Xenopus tropicalis: one gene and its partners. The protein of the gene in region 3 interacts with the protein of the main gene of each other region in a biochemical or structural test. Links are inferred from orthologs where the notes say so. Each region holds a gene or a part of one and is shown on either strand. Other genes may lie near its edges.

Evidence for each region.
Region 1: the proteins of bag6 (region 3) and amfr form a complex in vitro, tested with the Homo sapiens proteins (2 studies listed by BioGRID, with this or other methods). The link is inferred for Xenopus tropicalis from reciprocal best matches to the Homo sapiens genes BAG6 and AMFR.
Region 2: the proteins of bag6 (region 3) and sgta form a complex in vitro, tested with the Homo sapiens proteins (4 studies listed by BioGRID, with this or other methods). The link is inferred for Xenopus tropicalis from reciprocal best matches to the Homo sapiens genes BAG6 and SGTA.

What each region holds. Positions count from the first base shown.
Region 1 is NC_030680.2:51,705,890-51,713,619, forward strand, and holds part of amfr (E3 ubiquitin-protein ligase AMFR), read right to left. Parts: intron 4,785-7,730; coding exon 4,692-4,784; intron 4,163-4,691; coding exon 3,998-4,162; intron 3,898-3,997; coding exon 3,745-3,897; intron 2,205-3,744; coding exon 2,164-2,204; intron 730-2,163; coding exon 597-729; intron 352-596; coding exon 218-351; intron 1-217. UniProt on the Homo sapiens protein: E3 ubiquitin-protein ligase that mediates the polyubiquitination of lysine and cysteine residues on target proteins, such as CD3D, CYP3A4, CFTR, INSIG1, SOAT2/ACAT2 and APOB for proteasomal degradation.
Region 2 is NC_030677.2:99,256,986-99,265,227, reverse strand, and holds the start of sgta (small glutamine-rich tetratricopeptide repeat-containing protein alpha), read right to left. Parts: upstream 5,106-8,242; 5' UTR 5,062-5,105; coding exon 4,962-5,061; intron 3,968-4,961; coding exon 3,864-3,967; intron 3,171-3,863; coding exon 3,092-3,170; intron 1,927-3,091; coding exon 1,827-1,926; intron 1,192-1,826; coding exon 1,087-1,191; intron 1,009-1,086; coding exon 870-1,008; intron 792-869; coding exon 729-791; intron 1-728. UniProt on the Homo sapiens protein: Co-chaperone that binds misfolded and hydrophobic patches-containing client proteins in the cytosol. Mediates their targeting to the endoplasmic reticulum but also regulates their sorting to the proteasome when targeting fails.
Region 3 is NC_030684.2:74,260,669-74,268,398, reverse strand, and holds part of bag6 (large proline-rich protein bag6), read right to left. Parts: intron 6,494-7,730; exon of another isoform or gene 6,197-6,493; intron 6,114-6,196; exon of another isoform or gene 6,094-6,113; coding exon 5,976-6,093; exon of another isoform or gene 5,882-5,975; coding exon 5,697-5,881; intron 4,583-5,696; coding exon 4,523-4,582; intron 4,049-4,522; coding exon 3,992-4,048; intron 1,846-3,991; coding exon 1,771-1,845; intron 1,697-1,770; coding exon 1,566-1,696; intron 1,484-1,565; coding exon 1,357-1,483; intron 9-1,356; coding exon 1-8. UniProt on the Homo sapiens protein: ATP-independent molecular chaperone preventing the aggregation of misfolded and hydrophobic patches-containing proteins.

The DNA of each region.
Region 1 (7,730 bases), on a different chromosome or scaffold from region 3:
TTATATTACATGCATGAGCTGTAAAAGCCTTAGTGTTCCTATGTAAACATACTACATAAGCTATTCTCTGGCCTCAAACTAACATTTTACAACACAATATCAATACTCACACACATTCTATATCATGTCAAGTCAAACATTGAAAAGGGACACACATGCAACATTTAACATAGCTGCTGTTATCTTAACCTCTGAACCTTCAGTCATGAACACTCACTGAGCTTCCATGTTTCCAACAACTCGTAAGTAGTTTTTGTGGCGTCGTATTCGGCGCTGAAATTCATGAAAGAGGTGGCGGAGCTGCATGAAGATGACAAGACTTGCCATGGACAGCCAGATATTACCAAAAAGCTGAAAAAGCACGAATAAAAGTTGTTAAATTTTGATAAATCCATAGTGCTTAAATAAAGATTAGGAGCTAGCTAGAGGGTGAGAAGAGAGTCAGAACATTAAGAGATGTAAAGAGTTAAAAACAATGTAGAAAAGGGCTACAAGGGAAAAGGGAAAAAACAAAACAGATACAGCACAAGAGAGAAAGAAAAGTTAAAAGGCAAAGGACAGGAAAGACAGAAAATGTAAAAAATGGCATTACATACCAACATGTGAATATGATGCATTAGGTCTATGGACAGATGGCTGAGCTCCATCACAAAATCTGTGTAGTATACATAAGTCCCTTTGCCCTCCCATGTTCCTTCGTGGTTTAGGTCCCAAAGGTGAATGACATAGCTGCAAGAACCCATATTATGAAACAATAGAAAGTTACCTAGCTAGTATAAATTGGCACTGATAAAAGTACAAGTGTTGAAGACAATATGGCCCTCAGTTTACAGGTCAAACAGAATTATTGTAATGCAAATCAAACAGAAAAATGCTCATGCCCAGAACACCTGATAAATGTGTCTCTTATACTTTGTTTCATGCACTGGCTTCCAATTAAATGGATTGGAAATGGATTCTTTTTAAAATCTGCCTTCTTATAATTAAGGCCCTAATTATCTGAAAAAACTCCTAATTTCTCATATCCCCAATCGCTACCTCCAATCTTCTCCATCGCAATAAAATCTATTTGCACTATATAAAACGGTCATCTGCAATCCAAAAATCATCTTCCTTAAATGTATTTAAAATCAATCTCAAAACATATACACGCACCTGGGCTTTCTGAGTAAATTAAAAAGTATCTTATTCATCAATAATGTTTGTGTCCCATGGGAGACAGGCACTATAAAATTTTATTATAGGTTTCCTGAACTGGCTTGCAGCAACTTGCAATGTTATCCACCCTCTGCCCACACATTAAACATTTCTACCACACAACACTTATATTTGTATGGGTCTTGTGTGTCCCACTCTGCATTTATATTGCAAAAAACCTTTACCTGCTACCTAAATTTCTCAGTTTAGAATTACAGCTATAGGACCCGTTATCCAGAATGCTTGGGATCAAGGGTATTCCGGATAATGGATCTTTCCATAATTTGGATCTCCATATCTTAAGTCTACTAAAAAAAAATCAATAAAAGATTGATTAAACCCAATAGGATTGTTTGCATCCAATAAGGATTAATGATATCTTAGTTGCGATCAAATACAAGCTTCTGTTTTATTATTAGAAAAAGGAAATCAAAATCAATTTTAAAAATCTAAATGATTTGATTAAAATGGAGTCTATGGGAGACAGGCTTTACAACATTCCTAAGCAATCCTAAATAGTTTCACAACTGCCGGCTACTAACAGCACGTTTCTTGTTCACATGACTGAGGGTATGGCTTCCAAGTGGCAAGGTGATTTTGATCACGTCAGCTCACAGGACCCTCAGATCATGCAGACCATTACTGCCTCAGATGGAGAACATCAGCATTCATAACACCGGTCTCTGCCTGCCGCCCTGGCTGATGCACAAGGAACAGTGACAGACAGACCTCTGCAAGCAAAACTCTCCTGGATCAACAATGCAATACCTCAACTTCAGTTACACAGTTTTTCTACATCACATCAAAGGCTACATTTTAGCACAAAACAACTCTTGCAGTAAAAGCACGAGCTATTGCTGTAAGATAATATACTTATTTGATATGTTTTGGTTTTAACACTATTGTACATACTTTCATTTAAAAAAAAATAAAAAAAAATAACACAATAATAGTTTTAGGGCTTACCGTAGCACAACATGAGTGGTTCTTGTTGTCACCAACATGCACTACAGGAATAAAAGTAATTCATTTTTAATGTGCACAGATAATCAGCAGCTTTTAGATCACAATTCTCTTAAGTGTCCAGCAACAGCATAAAATAAAAATATTATTTCTACAGTTAAAATGCGTACCTGTCCAACCATCACCTAAAATAGGTGATACCTCCTGAGGATGTGTAACATACCACATGAAACAAGTAGAGAACCTCAGAAGTTTCCAGGATTTTAAAGAATTTTTATTTAGTGCTTGAATGAATCTCTGTGAGTATTCCATTTGGGTTTATATTTATTTCTTATTAAAATGTTACTACACAATTTTGGTGCACTTTGTTTTCAGTGGGTATCCACATAAGATAGACAGAAGGTCCCTGATGAAAGATGGATGTTTGGCCTTGCTATTTATGCATCTGGTGATTAGGTGATTTAGCCAGAGTGTGATATTTAGATCACCTACACTTACATGAGATTTGAGCAATCACACTTTTAAGGAAATAAAATATTAAATTATTAAATAGTAATTAAATTAATACTGGCACATTTGCACTTTAATTTACTCTATTGAATGTGTTGTGCCAGTGCTTCCCTACAGAATTGTTGACATCACCTAAAAATAAACTATTTCTTAGCAACAAATGTCCCATTTATATAAGAAAAGTTTTAATTCTATTTCTGTGCTACTAATGCCACTGGACCCTTGTTAATCTCTTTGGCTACGTACTAAATAACATTGTATTCTAAAGAAACGATCCATTTGATCTGATGTGTTTGTAAGATTGAGTAAAACCAATCACAGAGAACACCAACATCAAAAAAAGGCACTTAAACTCTCATATATATATATATATATATATATATATATATATATATATATATATATATATATATATATATATATATATATATACTGGTATTTTAAAGAAAAAAAAAAAAACTGGATTTACCTTACCGTATTTAAGGAATCATTCAAATGGAAAATTCAGCAATGCAGTCACTTTTATTAAATTCTAAAAAGGTACTGTATTTCAAGGAGTGAACCCTTTCTGAGGACTTGTGTTGCTTTATTTTCCTTTTGAGAGATTCCTGCTACCATTAAAAACAAGACAAGACAAACTATAGTCTGACAAAAAGTACAACAGGATATAAGTTAGAAATGCAGACAAACTTAAATGCTAATTGGTAATTATTCAAGTAATAACTTAAATTAAAAGGAGACATTAACGCTATGTATAACATATAAAACTGCTTATCTCAGCACATTGAAATTCACATTGATTACAGAGAAGGGGAGCTAAGCTAAGCATCAACGGACACATCCTACTTCAGTAAAATAAGCTTTTTTACACCTTCATGATAATAGCAGAGACCAGAAGAGAAGTGAGCAATTTTACATTAAATTATATAATAGGGTATAAATACCTTTTAAAAATTAATCAAAAGCAGTATACTAAGACAGGGAGACTAAGAATTTGGTATCTAAATGTGGAGTATATTAAAGCAGCGAGCAGGCTTATGTACCACAGGGAGAAACAATCTGGTATTTTCTTACCTCAGCAGCCATAAAAGCCAATGTGTGCATCCCATGTGTGTATCCAGCAATTGCACACAGCACAGCAAGACCACAACAGGCCAAGAGCATAATATTCAGCAGAACCAAGACACGCATATGGCAACTCATTGGAGTGGTTGGGGAGAAAGATAACTGTAAGAAAGAAAGGAGAAAATCATTTAGAAATATATGCACAGCAGAATCAGAGCTAAATTTTTAGTGCAATGTTTAATTTTTTTCCCATTCTACGTACGTATTCAAACCGATCCTTACAGAGCTGCACCATGAGATGAAGAAAAAGCAATCCAGCAAACCACAAAAACCAAAGGACCACTTCCTCTACTGTCTGGACATTGAGTACCCCAAAGATGAAGATAAATTTATAAAAGATGAAGTTCCAAAACTTGTCCTTCAAGTGCTACAAAAATAAAGAAGGCAAGAGAAGAGTGCAAAGTCAAGATGACTGCAATTTGTAGGATTAAACAGCATACAAGTTGGTTATTAAAGGAACAGTAACATCAAAAAATGTAAGTGTTTTAAAGTAATTAAAATATAATGTGCTGTTGCTCTGCAAAAAACTGGTGTTTTTGCTACAGAAAAGCTACTATATAAATAAGCTGCTGTGTAGCCATGGGGGCAGCCATTCAAGCTGGAAAAAAGGAGAAAAGGCACAGGTTACATAGCAGATAATTAGTAGATAAGCCCCATATAATGGGGGTTTATCCGTTATCGGCTAAGTAACCTGTGCCTTTTCTCCTTTGAATGGCTGCCCCCATGGCTACACAGCAGCTTACTTATATAAACTATAGTAGTCTTTCTGAGGCAAACACACCAGTTGTAGCAATGCAGGGCAACAGTACATTATATTGTTATTACTTTTATACACTTTCATTTTTTGGTGTTACTGTTCCTTTAACACCAACTGGAACATAGACAGTCCTTTTTACCTGTCTCTCTCCAACACGGAGGGGACCAAATACCACATGCTGGATCAGTTTAGCAATCAGCATCAAAAGGCAACACACTGTGTTCACTAGAACCTGTAGAGAAAGAGAGACTGTATGTGGATCCTGTGCCATTATCCAAGTGCAGTTGCCATTATCCAACTTGTAATTGACTCTTTAAATCTTATTGCAGACTGGTTAATACTGGAAACTGTACCCTGGTATACTAATTTATAATGTGTGTACAACCCTAGAGAAATAAAAGGATATTATCACCTGAAAACACTTTTCTTAACATGGGAGGGGTGATAAAGGAAAAATCCTTAAAGGTGTAGTTCACCTTTAAGTTAACTTTTAATATGTTATAGAACAGCCAATTCTAAGCAACTTTTTAATTTGTCTTTTTATAGTTTTTTTTAATTATTTGTCTTCTTCTTGTGACTTTTGCAGCTTTCAAAGGAACGTCACTGACCCCAGCAGCCAAAAAATGATTGTTACTTACAGATTTATTGTTACTTTTTACTTCTTTTTATTCAGACCCTCTCCTATTCATATATTAATCTCTCATTCAAACTACTCTCTGGTTGCTAAGGTAATTTGGACCCTAGCAACCAGTTAGCTGCTGACTCAAGAGCTTGAGAGCAAAAAGTGAAATAAAAAAAAAAACAATAAAAAAATGAAAACCAATTGCAAATTGTCTCAGAATAGTATTTTCCACTTCATACTAAAATGTAACTCAAAGGTGAATTACCCATTTAATAAAGACAAATGCATAAAGAAGCTACAGTAAATATGCATGCAGTCTTATACCTGTACAAAAGTTAACTTACCTGTCTTGTAGTCCCATGTAGTATTTTCATACTAAAACAGGATTTTTGCTACTATTTTAACCAGTCTTACTTTATTTATAAGTCAACTAGCCATTTAAATTTATGTATGTATAGGCACATACACACACTTAAAGGGTCAGTAACATGAGGAAATGAAAATGCACTGAAATATATTACAAATAATGTTCAATTTCACTTTTGTACTAGATCTTGAAATCTTTTTTCCAGTTAAAAATACTTATATGTTAAGGAACTGGCCCCAGAAAAAAATATATTTCTTAAGGCCTCGTATCAGGGGGATTACTATTTAAGTAAATGACAGGCTGAATGGCCCTGATGAGGCAGATTCAGTTTTTATATATGTGCACACTGACATAAGTGTTTCTCATTAAAACCACATATTGTTTTGTCAACTGGCATAAATACCCCAGGGGGGTGAAAGCGCAGATTAGTTGGCACCAGCCAACATGTCAGTGTACCAGTCTGGGTCATTTATAAACACTGGCCAAATCAGCACCTGGACAGTAACCCATGGCAACAACATTATACATTTGCCTTCACTGTTCTCCCTACAGCTAGCTGAAAAGACTAATCAATGATTGGTTGCTATGGGTTACTGGCCAGACAAAAATTTGCCCAGTGCTTTTAAAAGAGCCCCATTGTCAGTGCACACTAAAGTCAGGGTAGAAGACAATCAGCATTTACTCCACAGGTATATTTAAAGGAGACAAGCCCTAATTTTGTAGGCAATTATGAATAATATATGGTGGTGGTTTCACTTTGGGCTAAAATTGAATACTGTCTACAAAAATGGCCCTTTTTTGGACGTCCCTATATCTCCCTAAGATCTCAGGTCTCTGTTAGTGATTCAAATAAAGCATGGGTGTGTCCTAACGGTCCCTGCCAGAAGCACAGCAGGAGGGGGTAACCAATCACAGCCCTGCAGCCATACAAACAAAGACAGGCTTCAGTTCCCTATCAGGTTAGCCTAGCTGCTGCTGGCTCCTATCCTACAGTCCAGTGTGCCGCCAGCTCCCCTGCACATCCAGAGAATTTAGCCAGAAGGAGTGGAACAGATGGGTGGGACTAGTAGGGTTTTGGGGGAATTTCTCAATGAATCAGTTCAAAACGCAACTTTTTTTTAAGCAAAATCCTTCTATTTTTAGAGGAGAATAATTCACTGGTACATTCTTAATTTTTACATGATATGCCTCTTAACTTCAGCAGAGAAAATGGCTTGTGTGACACAGGCCTAAAGGTGGCCATACACATTATAATTATGATCTTTCCAGTGATTGCTCATACCCTCCACTAGCATTCAGGGCTGAATCGTCAGATATGGAGGTAGAAATAATAGGAATTCATCCCTAAATGCTTGTTTTTGCTCGGGTGCCGCCTCGTCCGATTGATGAGACGACCGACATCCAATGCTTTTGCGGTATTGGTTGCCTCAATTCACTATACATGCACTGAATATCGTACAAAACAATATCTTAGCTTAAGGCTAATGCAAGACCAGGATGTTTCAAGGCCTGCATATAAGCGCAGCCAAGAAACAGCACCTCAGCTCACAAATGATCTCAGCGGTGTCTGCACCCAGAGCCACTGTGCCTCAGCACCATCAGTTATATTACAGAGAATTACACCAATACTTAATTCTCCAAAAGTGGATCAGATATGATCCTCCCTCAGAAATTCCCCTAGCCCTGCATCTTATTTTAACACACAAGCACTTTCTCCAACCATATTACAATACACTTGCAAATTAAAATGGGGAGAAAATAAAACTAATAATAAATAATGATACAATATACATGGGCTATCTACATGTCTGCACTTCAACAATTCTGCATTATTTCAGAAGTACAGGTATGGGATCCCTTATCCGAAAACCTGTTATCCAGAAATTTCCGAATTATGGAAAGGCAGTCTCCCATAGACTCCACTAGAAGCAAATAATTTTAATTGATTTCCCTTTTCTCTGTCATAATAAAACAGTACCATGTACTTGATCCCAACTAAGATATAATTAATCCTTATTGGGGACAAAACAATCCTATTGGGTTTATTCAATATTTAAATGATTTTTAGCAGAGGAGATCCAAATTAAAGAAATATTCTTTATCAGGAAAATCCCAGGGCCCAAGCATTCTGGATAGCAGGTCCCATGCCTGTATTTTATTAAAAAATACTTTCTTTACTTTAAAAGCCT
Region 2 (8,242 bases), on a different chromosome or scaffold from region 3:
GAGCTGGTACTGCAAATAAAAAATTTTAATATATAGTTATTGTGCAGACTGTAGGAGCAGTGCCAGCATTGTGTCACTGTAGGCTGCCTGTGTGTGCCATACACACAGGCAGCATAAGGCAAGCAGAGTATGGCACACACAGGCAGAGTAGGGCAGGCAGAGTATGGCACACACAGGCCAAGTTTGGCACAAACCAGCCAAGAATGGCACACACAGTGAAAGTATGGCACGCAGGCAGGGTAGGGCAGGCAGAGTATGGCAGGTTTTTGCTGTACTACAACCATTAATATGGGTATGGTCATGTGATAACATGGGTGTGGTTTCAAGTGGGTGCGGTTTCAAAAAGGGGAGTGGTCAAAACTGGCTTCCATTATCGGCCCTCCACCACGTAGGCCGGAAAAATTCCGGCCCTCGGTACAACAGAAGTTGGACAGCACTGATTTAGAACAATAAGTATTCTATAAATGTTAGTACACCATCTTTGTGTATTGCTCAATTTAGATGGTGCTGGTTTTTGCACAATAAGACTACTAGTCAATTAAAGTAAAATGACGGTGAACCAATATATTCAAGCATCTCAAGCATTTTTTTGTACAAAAATTAATTAAATTAATAATAAATATATAAAACATCTATATAATGACAATTTTAGCTCCATATTATGCCCCTATTCTCAAATTAAGAGAAGAAAATACAATCTTGATAAAAACACTAAAGAGGATACTTACCATGCTCATAAAGCCTGGGTTATTGAGCAAGCCAGCCAAATCAAAACCTCCAGGAGCAGCCATCTAGATGAAATTAAAGATCCTGTTAGATTACTTATAAAAACAGATCTCCCCACCACAGGATAAACAAAGAATACTCACTGGGCTGGGCAGCTCTTTCATTTTCTGTTCTGCAATCTTTAGGTTTGATTTGTAGGTTTCATTGTCTGGATCCAGTATCAGGGCTTGTTTGTAAAAACCTACAGCTTCTGCATGTTTATTCAAGCTTGAAAGTGCCAGTCTAAAAATATTAAAAAAGAATGGTTTAAAAACATTTCTTCCATAATTGTAAGGTAAAGTAACTTAAACAGGAACATACCCCATTCTGCCATAAGCTTTGCTGTAGTTAGGGTCAATTGTAATTGCCTCTTCACAGTCCCTCACAGCTCCAGCATAGTTGCCCAGTTTGCTGTAAGCTGCAGCCCTGTGTAAAAAGACACGCAATATAGTGATTAATAATGCCTTGTTTTGCAACTGTTGCAGATACATGACATGACAAATGAAACCAGAAGCTTTTATGTAAAAGTTGTGTGCAAAAATATGTTACTAATGTTACTAAAGACAAAAACAGGCACAAATTACTGAACAGAACAGTACATTTTAATATATATATATATATATATATGTATGAAATTTCTAAATTAAATATTAAAGTGTTATGGACAGCCACTTGAACATTTTTTTTACACCTGCTGTTGTGTTTTAATTTGTATCAGCTTTAAATTCCTTAGAACCTAAATCTGCAAAGTTTTTTCGCTTCATAATTATGGTAGCATGAGACCCATGGAGCAGCCATGTTTGTTCCCCTCTTCCGGGTTTTAATTGAAATGCCTCCCAAGTGAATAAATATGCCCAGTCACAAACCTGCAATGCCCCTTCTGCTTTCAGCGGTGTGTGACAAACTCAGCTCCGTTGTCTATGTGTAATGGTGGGGGAGGGAGTGCCCTTAGAAGCAGACAGGCAGGCACGGGAAAGGTTAAGCTTGCCTGCTATTTAATTCTTCGTGGGAAGAGCAGAGATATATACACACACACATATTTCTTGTATGTAGATACATACCTGTTGCAGTAGTACACAGCATTTGTTGGGTTCAGTTCAAGAGCTTTTGAGTAGTAGGAAATAGCACTTTCAAAATTTTCTAATTTCATTTGCTCATTGCCTAAGAAAAACAAGATTCTCTGCTCATCTAATGGTACATACACCAAAAACTACCTCTGGCCACAATAATTAAAACACAGATACAGGTTTAAGAAAAGTAATAACATGACAGTAATTCTTTCTCTTTCTATTAATTGATATCAAAATTGCCTTGAGTCTGCAAACTCAGCTTCAAAGTTTTTGAAAAACAGATTTCAATACAGGATTCTGCTCGAGAAGCTCTATTAACTGATGAGTTTTGAAAAAGAACATGTTTTCCCATGACAGTATTCCTTTAAAAAGCAGCTGGAGGTCAAGGTGGAGCAAAAGGAGAAAACAAAGTGTAGAAGTAGGGAGTTTGAAGTGGAAGGGCACAAATACATACAAGGACAAATATGTAAGGGAATTATATTAAATGGACAAAATCAGTGGCAAATGGCAAAGAAATCTGGATTAAGGGTGAAAGGTGAAATGAGGGTGATATAAAGAAAAATATAGGAAAAAAGTTAAGATGTGAATTTAGAGAAGTGGAGATTATATAAACGCCTTTAAATCAAATATCCTTATACTGCCATACTGTCTAACTATGCTACCACAAGTATTTTCTTGTCCCAAAATGTACTCCTTAATGCCATTTTTTTTTTACCAATATACCATGGCTTCTCAATTAATGCAATTGAATATTCTGCATAACCTCACAGTCATGAACAATTAATACAAGGGACAATTTTAAAGGGCATGTCGACCCCAAAAATAACTTTTTGCATAAGAAAAGAAAACATAATTCTAAGCAATTTTCCAATATGAAAAATAGTTAAAAATTTGTAGCGCTTTAAAAGTTATTTGTAAATGTAATTGCTATTGAAAGCAGCATTTGCTGAACTCCTGGTTGTTACTTTCTAATCAGTGTTGCAACTGTCTCCTCCAGCAAGTCAAGTCTGTCAATCTGCTGCCTTGTGTTACATTGTTTCAACAGTCAGAGTCACCAGGGTAGAGAATAGAAAAGGACAGGCAAACACTGCTTTTTAATAGCAATTATAAATACAAATTACTCAAAAATCATTACAAATTTGTAATAAATGTATATTGCAAAGCTGCTTAGAATCTTGTTTTCTTTTATTAGGCAAAAATTATATTTTGCGTTGCCTTGTCCTTTAAGAGATCATGCAACATGTCAAGTGTCCAACCTTCTGTCTTCAATCTTTCAGCTTCTGCTACATCCTCATCACAAGGGGAGGCCAGGCCAGAATTAACTTGCGGAGAGTCCTGAATTTGGGAGGAGAGAAGAAGAATGCTTTAATTAACAGCGCATTAAGTTACCATTTTCCCAAAACTATGGTCTAGACAGCAAACCAATCTTTCTTCTTTGCTAGTTTTAAGTTTCAGTTTACAAAACGGTAAGAAAGCTTAGAATGTAGAGCTACAAAGTCTTATAGTAAAAGCTGTGATTAAAGGAGAAGGAAAGGCTAAATCACGGAGGGGTGCCAAATGTTAGCCCCCCCCCACCAGTGATTGTAATCTCTTACCTGATACCTGTGCCCGGTGCTCCTGTTAGGATGAAATTGCACTGGCCCAGGGTATATGCAAGCTAGCTTTCCTCTTCCTCCTGTCTTCTTTCTTTATAATCCCAGGACAGACACATGCGCAGTTGAGCGGAAAAGCTGGCTTTTCTCTCTACTGAGCATGTGAAGAAGGATCACTAGCTCACATACACACCAGCCATGCAGTTTTCTCCTAAGAGGAGCACTGGTTGGGGGTTTTAGGCAAGCAATTACAATGATTGGGGATGCCTAAGACTTTGGCCCCAGTAACTGTAACTTTCCTACTCCTTTATGTTATCAAGTTTGTAAGAAAGATGAAATATGGTATGTAGACTTTAAAAAGTTTAGAATTTCGCAATTCATTTTTTTCCAAAACAATGCCATTTCATGTCAGTCAATAACTAATTACAAGGATTACCTGACATGTGGCTTCTGTAAATATCTCTTGGAGACTCCTTGGTACAGCTAAGTTACTGTCTTCAATGGAAACCTCAAAGGCTGTCTCCAGGCACTGAATAGCAACTGTAAAATTCAAATTACATAATGCTTCCATCTAGTAATTATACACAAATATATTTAAAGTAATCCAATAGTTCCTGCATTCAAGCATCAGAGAAAGACCAGAAGACTTCCCTGGGATGGAACACTTAATTCATTCAATGCAGGCTTGCATTGAAAACATTTGTGGACTAACATTCACAATATTAATTTACAAACTTGTACATTTTCATTTTTTACAGTTATTAAATGAATGAATCAGGGTGTAATTGAGACTGATCAACAGAAACACTTCCCCACCAGAGGTGCAAGCTAATACAACAACCAGACAGCAGTTTGGAAGTCACAATGGATGATTAAAAGAAGATGAACAGAAAAAAAGATAATCAAACTAACAATAAATCTGAACTCTCACATTCATTCAATTTTACTCGCCCAGGTCAATGATCTCCAACAACCAGAGAGCATTTTCAGTTGCAGGCTGAAAATTGTTACATTAATAATTTAAAAAAACAAAACATTCATAACACGTTATACACTACATAAAAAATCTTAACTTACTCTCAACATCCTGATGGGCTATTTGGTAGCCCCAAATGGACTGCTAGCCTGCAGGAGGCTCTGCTTGGAGTAAATCTGTGTCTGGCTTTCAAACCTGCCTCCAAGCCAGAAATTTTAAAATGGGCACCTATTTTGAGGCCGGTGGAAGCAACATCAAAAGGGGTGGTAAGCAACATGTTGCTTGCGAGCCACTGGTTGGGGATTACTGCCCGTATGCATGGTAAGAAGCATTTAGATATTAGAATGCATTTAAAAGTACTGCTCTCCATCCTCTGGACTACTGCCTGTTAAACTTGCACTTCAAGTATCTGGCAGTAGTTCAGTAGCCCCAGGTGGGTGCAGGCTGAATATCATAAGTTTTATGAAAAAGCAAGGAAAAGAAAAAACTATTTTGTCTCATAAGAATAGTTCCCCCATCAAATAAACAGAAAGATAGAATATGAAGTAACAACCAGACCTTCCAGGCTCTCCTGTGCATCTGAGGAAAGCCCACCATTGCGTAACTGGTCATGTAAATGCCGAATAATGGAGAAAGCTAAGCGTTTTTTGTCAGCCATTGGATTTGTGAACACTTCAAGTGACAAGGTCCGACTCTGCAAATAAACTGGCATTAAAACATAAACAATGTCAGTGAATATGAATTCATATCTGATAAAAAAAAAAATAGATATATTTTTCCAGGTACCATTCAGAATCACCAGTCTTTGCCATTTTATCATTAAGCAAATATTCACAAGTACATTTATACAAATGATTAACAATGCACCATTCTCTGCAGGCATATCCAATAATGTTCGTCATTTTTAGCTCCCCTTGTTCAACAAATACTGTTGTTTAGAGCGGCCACTGGATATGCCACAGGTCTCAAAGGAAAAAGAAAACAGTGTTTATGTACATATGGTCACCCACAACCCATATATCTAGGGCCACACTTATACACATTTTCAATATTTCCACCCAGTTAACAGGGTTTGTATGACATACACACACTGTATTATCTTCCAAAGGTAGACTTCAACATAAGAGCTGCAGCATCTGCTAAAATACCTAGTATTTTTATCACTACGGCATAGCACTTTCAGAAACACCACAGGTCCCTTACAAGACAGGGCATATTTGCCCCTGGGCGTAACTCCACGGAAACCAATCAGATTTTTTCTTTCCCAACCTTCAGCCAGCTGAAAACAGCTAATCACTGATTCGTTGGCAAGGGTTACTGCCAAGGTGCAATTTTGCCCAGTGTTGATAAATGAGCCCAGTGTTGATAAATGAGCCCCAATGACCTTTCCATTGCATGGATGATTAATCAGCTGAAGAATTTTAGGGAAAGCCCAGTTTAAGGGCTGTGGCACATGAGGAGATTTGTTGCCAGCGATTTTTAAAAGAGCGATTTGGCGACAAGACGAGCGACAAGATATAAATCAATGGAAATCGCCAGCGTCAGCTTCAAATCGCCTGCTGTTTAAAATCGCACACAGACCCTTTTCTGAGCGACTTGAGTAAACATGAGGGGGGGTTGACTGTTGAGTGTACCATGGGTAGCAGATCGCCTGGAGCTCAACTCGCATGAAATCTCTTTGTGGGTATTGTCGTGGCGACTTGTCGCCAAAGCACCAGGGGGAAAAAACGCAAATCTCCTCGTGTGCCAGAGCCCTAAAGGCAGTAGCGGTCAGAAATGTGTCAAATGGATGGTACTGTGTCAAATGGATGGTACAGACGTCAACAATGCTGTTATCAGCACATACAGGATCCTGTGGTTCAGTAATGGCTGAGCGGATGCAGACAGGACACCCAGACCTAGGCAAAGTCACCTCCCACACGTCAGAAGCCCCAGCAGTATTAGTACACGTTCGTGTAATTAAACTGAAAAAAGCTCCGGGCCGCCATTGGCACCAATATATTAGTTAAATATATCTCTGAGTCTTTCCATTCCGCTCCCCTGTATCAACATTCTCTATCACCAGCGTGTTCAACAGAACTTCCTGGTCTGTTATATGTCGGTTCCATCATATTACCACAAAATAGTAACACCTATATTAACCTTACCATGCACAAAGGCACCCCCCCCAAAAATCTCTCTGACCCAGTCTTACCAGACACCACTACTCACATGCGAAAGCCCGGAACCGGATTCGGAATCACCTGTCAGCTGTCATACAGGAAGTGGCGTCATTAGTCGGATTCGCGAATGTGTCTCAGAGTCTCTGGACTGCTGCGTTTTTGTTTGTACTATGGTGGTTTCGGGTCAGAGACAATTGTCCATGCTCCTGGAGCCAGGTAGCTAACGTCTGGAAGTATATCGGTATGCACAGGGAACACCGACATTTAATGGTAACATTAATATGAGTTTTGAATAATATAAGAGTATTGGCGCAGTGCATGCCTGGGTAATTATACCAATAAATAATATTACAAGGCTATAATACTTAATGGCTTTCTAACGAAAATATGTGCTACATTGCAGTCGACCAGCTCTAGTTAATTTTCAGAACCCTTGTTGTCATTCAAAACATAGAGGCAAACTAGCCTGTGTTTAGCCTGCTTTTATGTTCTTATTTCCTCTCTCCCATGCCCCCAACAGGGTGTTTGATTATCGTATGTGGACTTAATGGATAACATCTTTGGCCAGAGGGGAAAATAACTTAATGGCCAGATTGGGACATTAATTGACCAGTTGAATTTCACATTCAGTGGGTACAGGATATAGGCAGGTAAAGAGGGTACATTTATTAAGCTTAAAGTGGAATTATCACAAATATTTAAGTTCAATATAAGCTTCAGCATACTAAAACATGATTTTTTCTAAATTTTTTCTAAAATTCTGCCCATTTCTGAAATAATCAAGTTGTTTTTCGCTCTCCTGCTTCGCAGCATCTGTCTCTCTTCTTCCTCTCTCCAAGCAAGAGGTGGGAGCCTGATTTTAAATATCAGATCCAATATATCTCTAGAGTGGTGGCAGTTTCCTTTGCCTAGAAGATGCATTAGAGCTCAATCTTTTAAAACCACCACAGATAGGATTTGTGCCAAAGTTAGCAATTTTGTTTGTGCTAGAATCAGTTATTTGAGTAAGCTCTAAAGGTGGCCATACAGGCACCGATAATATCGTACGAAACCTCGTTTCGTACGATATTCGGTGCGTGTATGGTATGTCGGCGAGTCGACCGATATCGCAGGAAGCTGCTGATATCGGCCGACTCGCCGATCGGACCAGTTGGAAAATTTTGATCGGGCGCCATAGAAGGCGCCTGATCAAAATCTCCTTTCAGCGCTGAATCGGCAGAAGGAGGTAGAAATCCTATTGTTTCTACCTCCTTACCTGCCGATTCAGCCCTGAATGGTGTGTGGCACATCTGACGATGTTTCAAACATCGTCAGATCGCCACGTGTATGGCCAGCATTATACATCTGCTAGAAAAGGGGAACCTGCAAAAGATATATTTTATCTAACTGCTAATGAAAATCTGACACCCAACTCCTGCATGAAGAGAAAATGAAAGACAATGAAGATAAACTTGGCTATTTCAGAAACTGTTCTGAATCTTTAATTGATTATATGTAGGAACTGTATTATTTCAGTATTGACGCTTATATTGAATTTTAATTTCGTTATAGTTCCCCTTAAAATGATTGTAGTGTTTTGGCTACAAAGGATGCAGTAGGTGTAGCATTTGCACTCTGGATCCTTGTGCCTTTAATTAACAGTGCCTACTTCAGCATTATTTCACACAAGTGCTTTGT
Region 3 (7,730 bases):
TCTTCCTGCTAGGGTTTAAAGCAAGGGAAGCAATATTTAGAAATAGAATAATGGTACAATTCATAAAATCTTTTACATTTTAAATTAATGGATTCAATCCAGCAGACAGAGAATGTGACACAAAAGATCTAGCCTAGCCATGTATCACCTGGCCTTAGCATCAAAGACTGTACAGCCTTCTGGAATATGCTTGTGCTGTATAAATATTTGGCAGTAATAAAGCCTAATCTCTTGCTGACTCTATGCCAAGCTCCTGGTAACACTTTGTTCGAGATGCCTGAAGTCAATGAATTCACAGAATAAAAAAGGACTAACATAATTGTAAAGATTTAGCTCAGACTAAACCTTATTGTTTTGCTATCTGTACTATCGCTACTACAATAGCTTGGAAAATATCTATGTATATAAAACCACACATATATATGTTTTGTGTCTATTCTAAACATGGGGTAGAGCAGAGATAATGATTTTGAGCAAGTGTGCACATGCTTATTCAGCATAGTTTATATTTGTTTTAAAATTGCCAAAGATTAACTTGTGTCAATTATAAGGCAAAACACAGGATGATTTTAGGATTGTCCATCCATATATCAAATCCAGTGGGCAAATGGGTCAAATATTGTGTGAACTGTTTATCCTTAAGGGCAGTCAAATGGCATTGTTCCATTCGCTTGGGCTGACAAATCAAACAAGTATATCTGAGAGGAATAAAAAGAGGCTAGGCCCTCATCTACCCATGAACCATCCACACAATAACATAAGGCATTGACAGATTAAACTTAACAGACCTGCAATGCAAGAGAATCATACGACTGTGATGCAAGAATATCATAGGTCCCTCAAGGTGCCATTACATGCACAGATGTTTAGGCAGTACTCTCTCTACCATTTCATATAGTCAGTGCTGGCTACAATTCAGCAAATATATTGTTTCAGTACAACTGAATTTTTAACCAAAAACCCAATACACCTATCTGCATTCTCACACATTCATAGTATCCTCTTATAGTTCACAGACCATGTTATTCCTCCATATCCAGAACAGCCCATCATACTATCACAAAACCAGAACCTATTCACAAATTTCACCTATAAAAGCCTATACCAATGCATACAAATATGTGATTTGCCAAATATAGTCCAGCTACTGACCCTTAAAAAATGCAAATATCTCTTTACTTATCTGTGCCTTTTTCTCACAAGCATCAACTCAAACAGCCATGAATAATGTTCCTTATTATCTACATAAATCATCAAATTAATCTTAATAAGTTGCTTTTTAAACAATCAATTAATAGACATTCTGTAAGTATGAAATGTTTAACACGTGAATCTTTTACACATCAGGCAACTTACATTCTCATAGGCATCAGAGGTAGCACTACTAAGGATTTCCCGGTAACGTTGCATGAAAGGGGCTAGACGTTCCTCAACCCGTGACAAAGACTGCAGGACCTCAACATATTCTGATGGTGAAGGATGACTAAAGCAAAAGAATTATTATAAGCTGTTGTTTTAGAAAAGGAGATAAAAAAGGGGTGGGGGGGGTGGAATTACAGTTTCACCTGGTAGGGGCTGTATTCGACTGCCCATCTGTATTCTGTGTAGTCTGAGGCAAGGTTTCTCTACTGCTGGCCTCTCCTTCAGACACTGCTGTGTCCATCGGTTCTGCAGTCTGCTCATTAACTGGTTGTCCCTGAAATACACAAAAAGGTTATAGAACCAGCAGTCCACATACACTTGCATAAAGCTACAAAAGGTTTTTCTTACCTCCAAACGATCCAGTATCCTCTGTATGTCCTGCAGTATTTGCTGAGCCAAAACAAGACGAACACGAGGTTCACTCTGCAAAGGGAGACAAACAGGAGAAAAAGGGAAAAGTAGAATGGATATGGAAAGAAAGAAGAGGAGAATGAAATAGAATTTATGTGGGTAAAGAAAGATATACATCAACGCAGGGATTGGGATTATAAAGAATTATAATATTATGTAAGGTTGTGAAGAATTTGGTAGCCAGGTAATGGAAGGCATAAAAAGAGAAGAAAGACATCATTACAGAAGAGTGAAGAGAGTTACATAGATGTGTCAAAAATCATAGTTGTGGGATTGGAAGGAGAAGTAGAAAGTGTGGACAAAAACACAGATGGATAACAAAGCAAGATGGAGGAAAGCAAGGAGAAGCGAGAGAAAGCATCAGGATGCATTAGACTGCCTCAGCAACTGCTTGGTCTTCAGTTTGGATTTGCATCTTAAATGTCCCTTCTTGTTGTTTCACAATTATAACAGAACAAACCCACTAAACTAAATACCAGGCACTATGTATATTGTGTTTTTAAATAGGTCAAATATACAGTGGTTAACCACTACCATTTAAAGCCATGTAGATATCATGCAAGCAACTAACACTTGCCCAGAAATGCATGAGTCCACAGATTTCAATAAGAACATATTTTTGGTTGAGCCTCTGTGTTAATTTCATATTTATTACTTATGGGTTCCTCAATAACACATGTGCACCCTAAACTGATAAAACAATGTTCTGCTTAAGATAATTTGCAATAAATCAGAGTTGACTCTTTAATACCGACTTGTACTGGATCTGCTCAGATGTTTCAGGCATTTTCACTCAGTCCTGTTAAAACCAAACATAGGCTGATAAAATGCAGTCAAGTTGGCAGTTTACTGGCCTTGTGTGGGCCCTCAGCAGAGCCTGTAAGAACCATATCTGATCATAAATCCAGTAGATATGTATTGGGCATGTTTGAAAATCTGAGAGTTTAAGGAGATCCTTAATTATAGGCCCACAGTGTAATCCAATTGTTGGCCCCTGAGCCACTAGTTTGGTGACCTTGTAAGGCCAGCGTAAAAAGACATGGAAATGTTAAAAATCTCTTTGATGGGCTAATTTGTTTGACACCCCACATGAACTCATGAATCTTTTCTGTCCTACTTGTGCAGGGTATACCTGGGAGCGTGGGGCAAGATGGGCTCTGAGTCAGTTAAAAGGTGATTTTCAACACAAACAGTGGTATCCTAAGGCAATTTTAATGGATCTTTGTTATATTTTGTGGTTTATTAATTATTTACATAGCTCTCAGGTGTGAAATTGTAACTGCTATCTGGTTGCTATGACTTAATTATCTTAGACCAGGCCATACATTAAGGGCTCTGGCAGACAGGGAGATTAGTCGCCCGCGACTAATCTCCCCGAATTGCCATCCCACCGGTGAAAATGTAAGTCGCCAGTGGGATAGCACACGCTGTGCAGGCGACTTACATTTTCGCCGGTGGGATGGCGACTCGGGGAGATTAGTCGCCCGCGAACAGGGAGATTTGTCGCGGGCGACTAATCTCCCCGTGTGCCAGAGCCCTAAAAGTCAACAAGATAGATAAATAGCAGAGAGCCTGAACTTAAAGATAAGCAATAAAACATATAAGAACAATACAGTCAACCTGCTTTGTGGTTGTGTGTATAAAGGTGGCCATACACAGGCAGATTTAAGCTGCCGTTTCGAGTCCTTTAGTCCGATTCTGGAGCTTATCTGCCCAGGTATAAGGCTTAGAAAAATTCCATTTATAAGATATTAAAAGTTTATTTAAATGTGAAATGTGAAAAGAGTTGAAATGTTTTACTAGTGTTGTAAACATTTTGACACTTACCTCTATAACAAAAAAAAAAAAAAAAAAAAAAAAAAAAAAGAATTGACTCAGCATTTTTGGAAATTTAATGTAATGTGTCTGGCCTAGGCCTAAGCAACTAAATGACTAAGTTTTACAAATAAAATGCAACTGATATGGAGAGGATTAGGGTCTATAGAAAATGCTTTGCAAAAACAAGAAAAGCGGTAAGGCTTACCAAGCATTCAAAATGAAAGTAATACATTGTTAATGATAAATGTATCTCCAAAGAATATCCAAACAACCTCTAATGTTATTCATATTGAAAAAGTGGTTTGTGTGACCTTGCTCTGAATTCCTACGCTCCATATACCTGGACAGGGAGCTGTTGATCCAGATTTATATGGACATCAAGAGTGGAGCCATCATTCTGAGCAAAAGAAAGAGGAAGACAAAAGAAAGACAAAAAGAAAATAGCAAGGGTGCGAGAGGAAGGAATAGAAAAAAAAGAAGACAATATAAAAGATGTGGGTATGAAGGGTAAAGGTAAAGGAGGATGTCAGAATAGTTGGAAAGAGAGGGAAGTATGAGAGATAATATCGATAAGAAGGGAAGAATACAGTGAAAAAAAAAAATATGGGGTGGGATTGAAATGGGGAGAACAGTAACAGTATGTCAGAAAAATATTCCTTACAATCTATCAAGAAATACACTTGCAGATTTCCCTAATGGTATACAACAATCAGCTGGGGGAGAATCTCTTATGGAACAAGCATACAACAGAAAAAAATGCAAGCACAAGCTTCTATGTAAGAAACACAGGCAATTATTGCTAGTAAATGTGACAGACCTAAAAGGTGCAAAAGGATGCAGAAGAAAATATAGTGTACATATATAAACTTACCCCACTTACTGTAGAAACACGTGGGCCTCTGCTGGCCTCACCAAGACCAGACATTACATGCTGAAGAACAATAGGTAAATAGAAGTTTAGCAGTCACATAAAAAGTTTCTTTGAATCAAAGAAAGAAAAAAAAAAAACAGGTACATGACACTTAGTACATGCTACCCATGATATAGGGTATCTATGCACAGGTTATGCAGTGATCCCCCAACCAGTGGTTCGTGAGCAAAATGTTGCTCAGCACCCCCTTTGATGTTACTCCCAGTGGTCTCAAAGCAGGTGCTTATTTTTGAATTTCTGGCTTGGAGGCAAGTTTTGGAAGCAGGGAGACAGTTTTACTCCAAGCAGAGCCTCCTTAAGGCCAGCAGGCCACATGGAGCTACCAACTAGCCAATCACAGCCCTTATTTGGCATCCCCAAAGACCCTTTTCCATGCTTGTGTTGCTCACAAACACTTGTTACGTCACAGTGTGGCTCATGAGTAAAAAAGGTTGGGGATCCCTGGGTTATGGGTATATTTAGGGGTTATTCCTGCTAATGTTATGTCTGGAATATTCAATTAAAAGTTACCATACATAACGGATATTTAAGATGGGAATCTAAAAAAACAAATAGGCATTATTCCATTCCCATTATTCCTTTGGCTGAGCCCCCTGCCACCTTTCCTTTAGCTTCTCTAAGGGTTCCCACGTCACTGACCCTAGCAATCAGAAATCATTAATCCTGATGATAGATTTTTGTTAATATTTTTCACTTAACATTCAGCCTTCACCTTCTCCTTTTTATCTTTTAATCTATCATTTAAACCGCATATGTCAAACAACAAACCACTCAACTTTTTCTAAGAGCCAACCACCATCCACTGTTAGTAGCTTCATTATTAGCTTTCCATGTGCTTTTTCAGTTATAACAACTAGCTCTATGGGTCAGGGACCTCCTTGTCTATGACATTATCAATTATTTAAGTTCTCCAAGGTTAATCCTTTATTGTCTGCATGTTAAGATTACAGCAGGGAAAACTCTTGAGAACTGACCCATATGCCATTATTTTAATAGTGCATTATATTAAAAATAAAAAGTGATAGTGTCCTTTATATACCCAACTGTCAACAGTTCACAATGATTCTCTTCTGTTACAATAAGAGCTTCTCTGCGTGTGACCAAATTGTCTTACCGGAAGATTGAATGTGCCAACCATCACATAGCTGTTTCCATTCCTTTCAGGAGCCCCAGCCCCAGGTACATTAGCGGCATTACTGCTGGATGGTGAAGTACTTGAAGATGTAGATGGTCCACCTGTTGAAGGCTGTGTCTGAGGAGGAGCCCGTTCAACTAAGTGAATAACCTTCCCATCAACATCTAAAAAAAGCATACATGCTATGTAAGAGCATGCCAATATTAAAAGGACCATTTAAAACATAGATATACAAGGAAAGTCACACAAAAAACTTACTGTATTCTTTCAGTTTTTTGTCCTCTTGCAGTACTCGCCCCTGATATATAAGCCGCTGTTTCTCTGGTGAAATTCCAACATCAGATGAAATATGTGTTTTGAATTCCTTTACTGTGATCTAGGGGAGAAAGAGTACAGGTAAATGGCAGGCAGCAATTATGACTTTGTCCCCCATGCATACATTCTACTATACTAACATGAATACACAAATAACGGTACAGAGTCTACCTCTCTCTTTCTTAAGGTGGCCATGCATGATTTTTGTCATTCAAAATAAAGAATTTTTCCGGATGGGCTTGTTATGGGGGCATACTCACCAATTAATATAAAGGGCCCATGTAACCCCTAAAATGTTAACTACCCATCACTACAACATGACATGTATATGACTACAACGCGGTGACATTTGTAATATCTCTTTGTATACTTCAAACGTTTTATGTCAGTACCTATTGATGTGATTTTTGTTTGCAATAAAACTTACCTGAACAAAAAATAAAATAAAGGGCCCAGATGCACAAGCCTCAAAAACCTTCAAGCTTACTGGCAAATTTCAAGCAAAATTACCTCATAGATGAGAAAAGGCTGGAACAGGTAAAACTGGACCAGTTAACAGAAAATTTGGTGCAGTTAACATGTTTCTTTTTTTTTTTTTTTTAAAGAAGAAGCATCTCAAACATAAACAGCCTGACGCATTTTATGCCAAAAGCAGAAACGTAATCATAGGCTCGATTATTAGGCCATAAGCGTATGATTAATGCCTGCTTTTGGCACAAAATGCGTCAGACTGTTCATGTTTGAGATGTTTTTCTTTAAATAAAAAAAGAAACATGTTTTAATTGCACCACATTTTTTGTTAATTGGCCCAGTTTTTCCTGTGCCAGCCTTTTTTCATCTATGAAGTAATTATGAATGATTTTTGGTCAGATATCACTCAGGCACACCCACTGAAGAGCCCCACAGATGCACATTTCTACTGATGACTTGGTTTGAAGAATGAATTACCCACTTAAATCTGCCTCTGTATGGCCACCTCTAGGAGAGGAAATTAGTGCCACTTCCCTATTTTATAACAGAAATTAAAAATACTTGCTTTAAAGGCTATAGTTGTCCTTTACAAAGGTTTTGGATGCATCACCAGCCATAGGCACATATACAGAGTTGCTTTCATTTCGAAGTCACCAGTTTCCATCTTAAAGGAAAACTATACCCCAGAATGAATAATTAACCAACAGATAGGTCACTTAACATAATATAAACTATTAAAGAATCTTGCCAGAATGACATATATCAGTAAATATTGCCCTTTTACATCCTTTCCCTTGATCCACCATTTAGTGATGGGCTGTGTGCTCCCTCGGAGATCACATGACAAGAAATAATACAGGTTGGGGGTATAGTTTTCCTTTAAGGGCAATGGAAAATAATTATTTGGCTGCTTGGACGATTTCCCACTTCACCTGCCACTGAGTGCACTGCCTCATTTATGTTCTCTGCTATTTGATTAACATTTATCAGGTTGTGGGATGCAGCTGCAGTGAGTCTTGTGGTGGAATGTGGTGGAACTACAGTTGCAGTTGTAGCATCTGTATCATCATTACAAGATCAGATTTGATATATTTATGTATTATAAAAGTAAAAAATAAAACAGTATTTAATTCCGTCACTTGTACTGGTCTGATGCTATTTAAGAATATCTGTCAGAAAACTAGAAAGTAAGTAAAAATAAACATATATTTCCTCATGCAAGCAAAA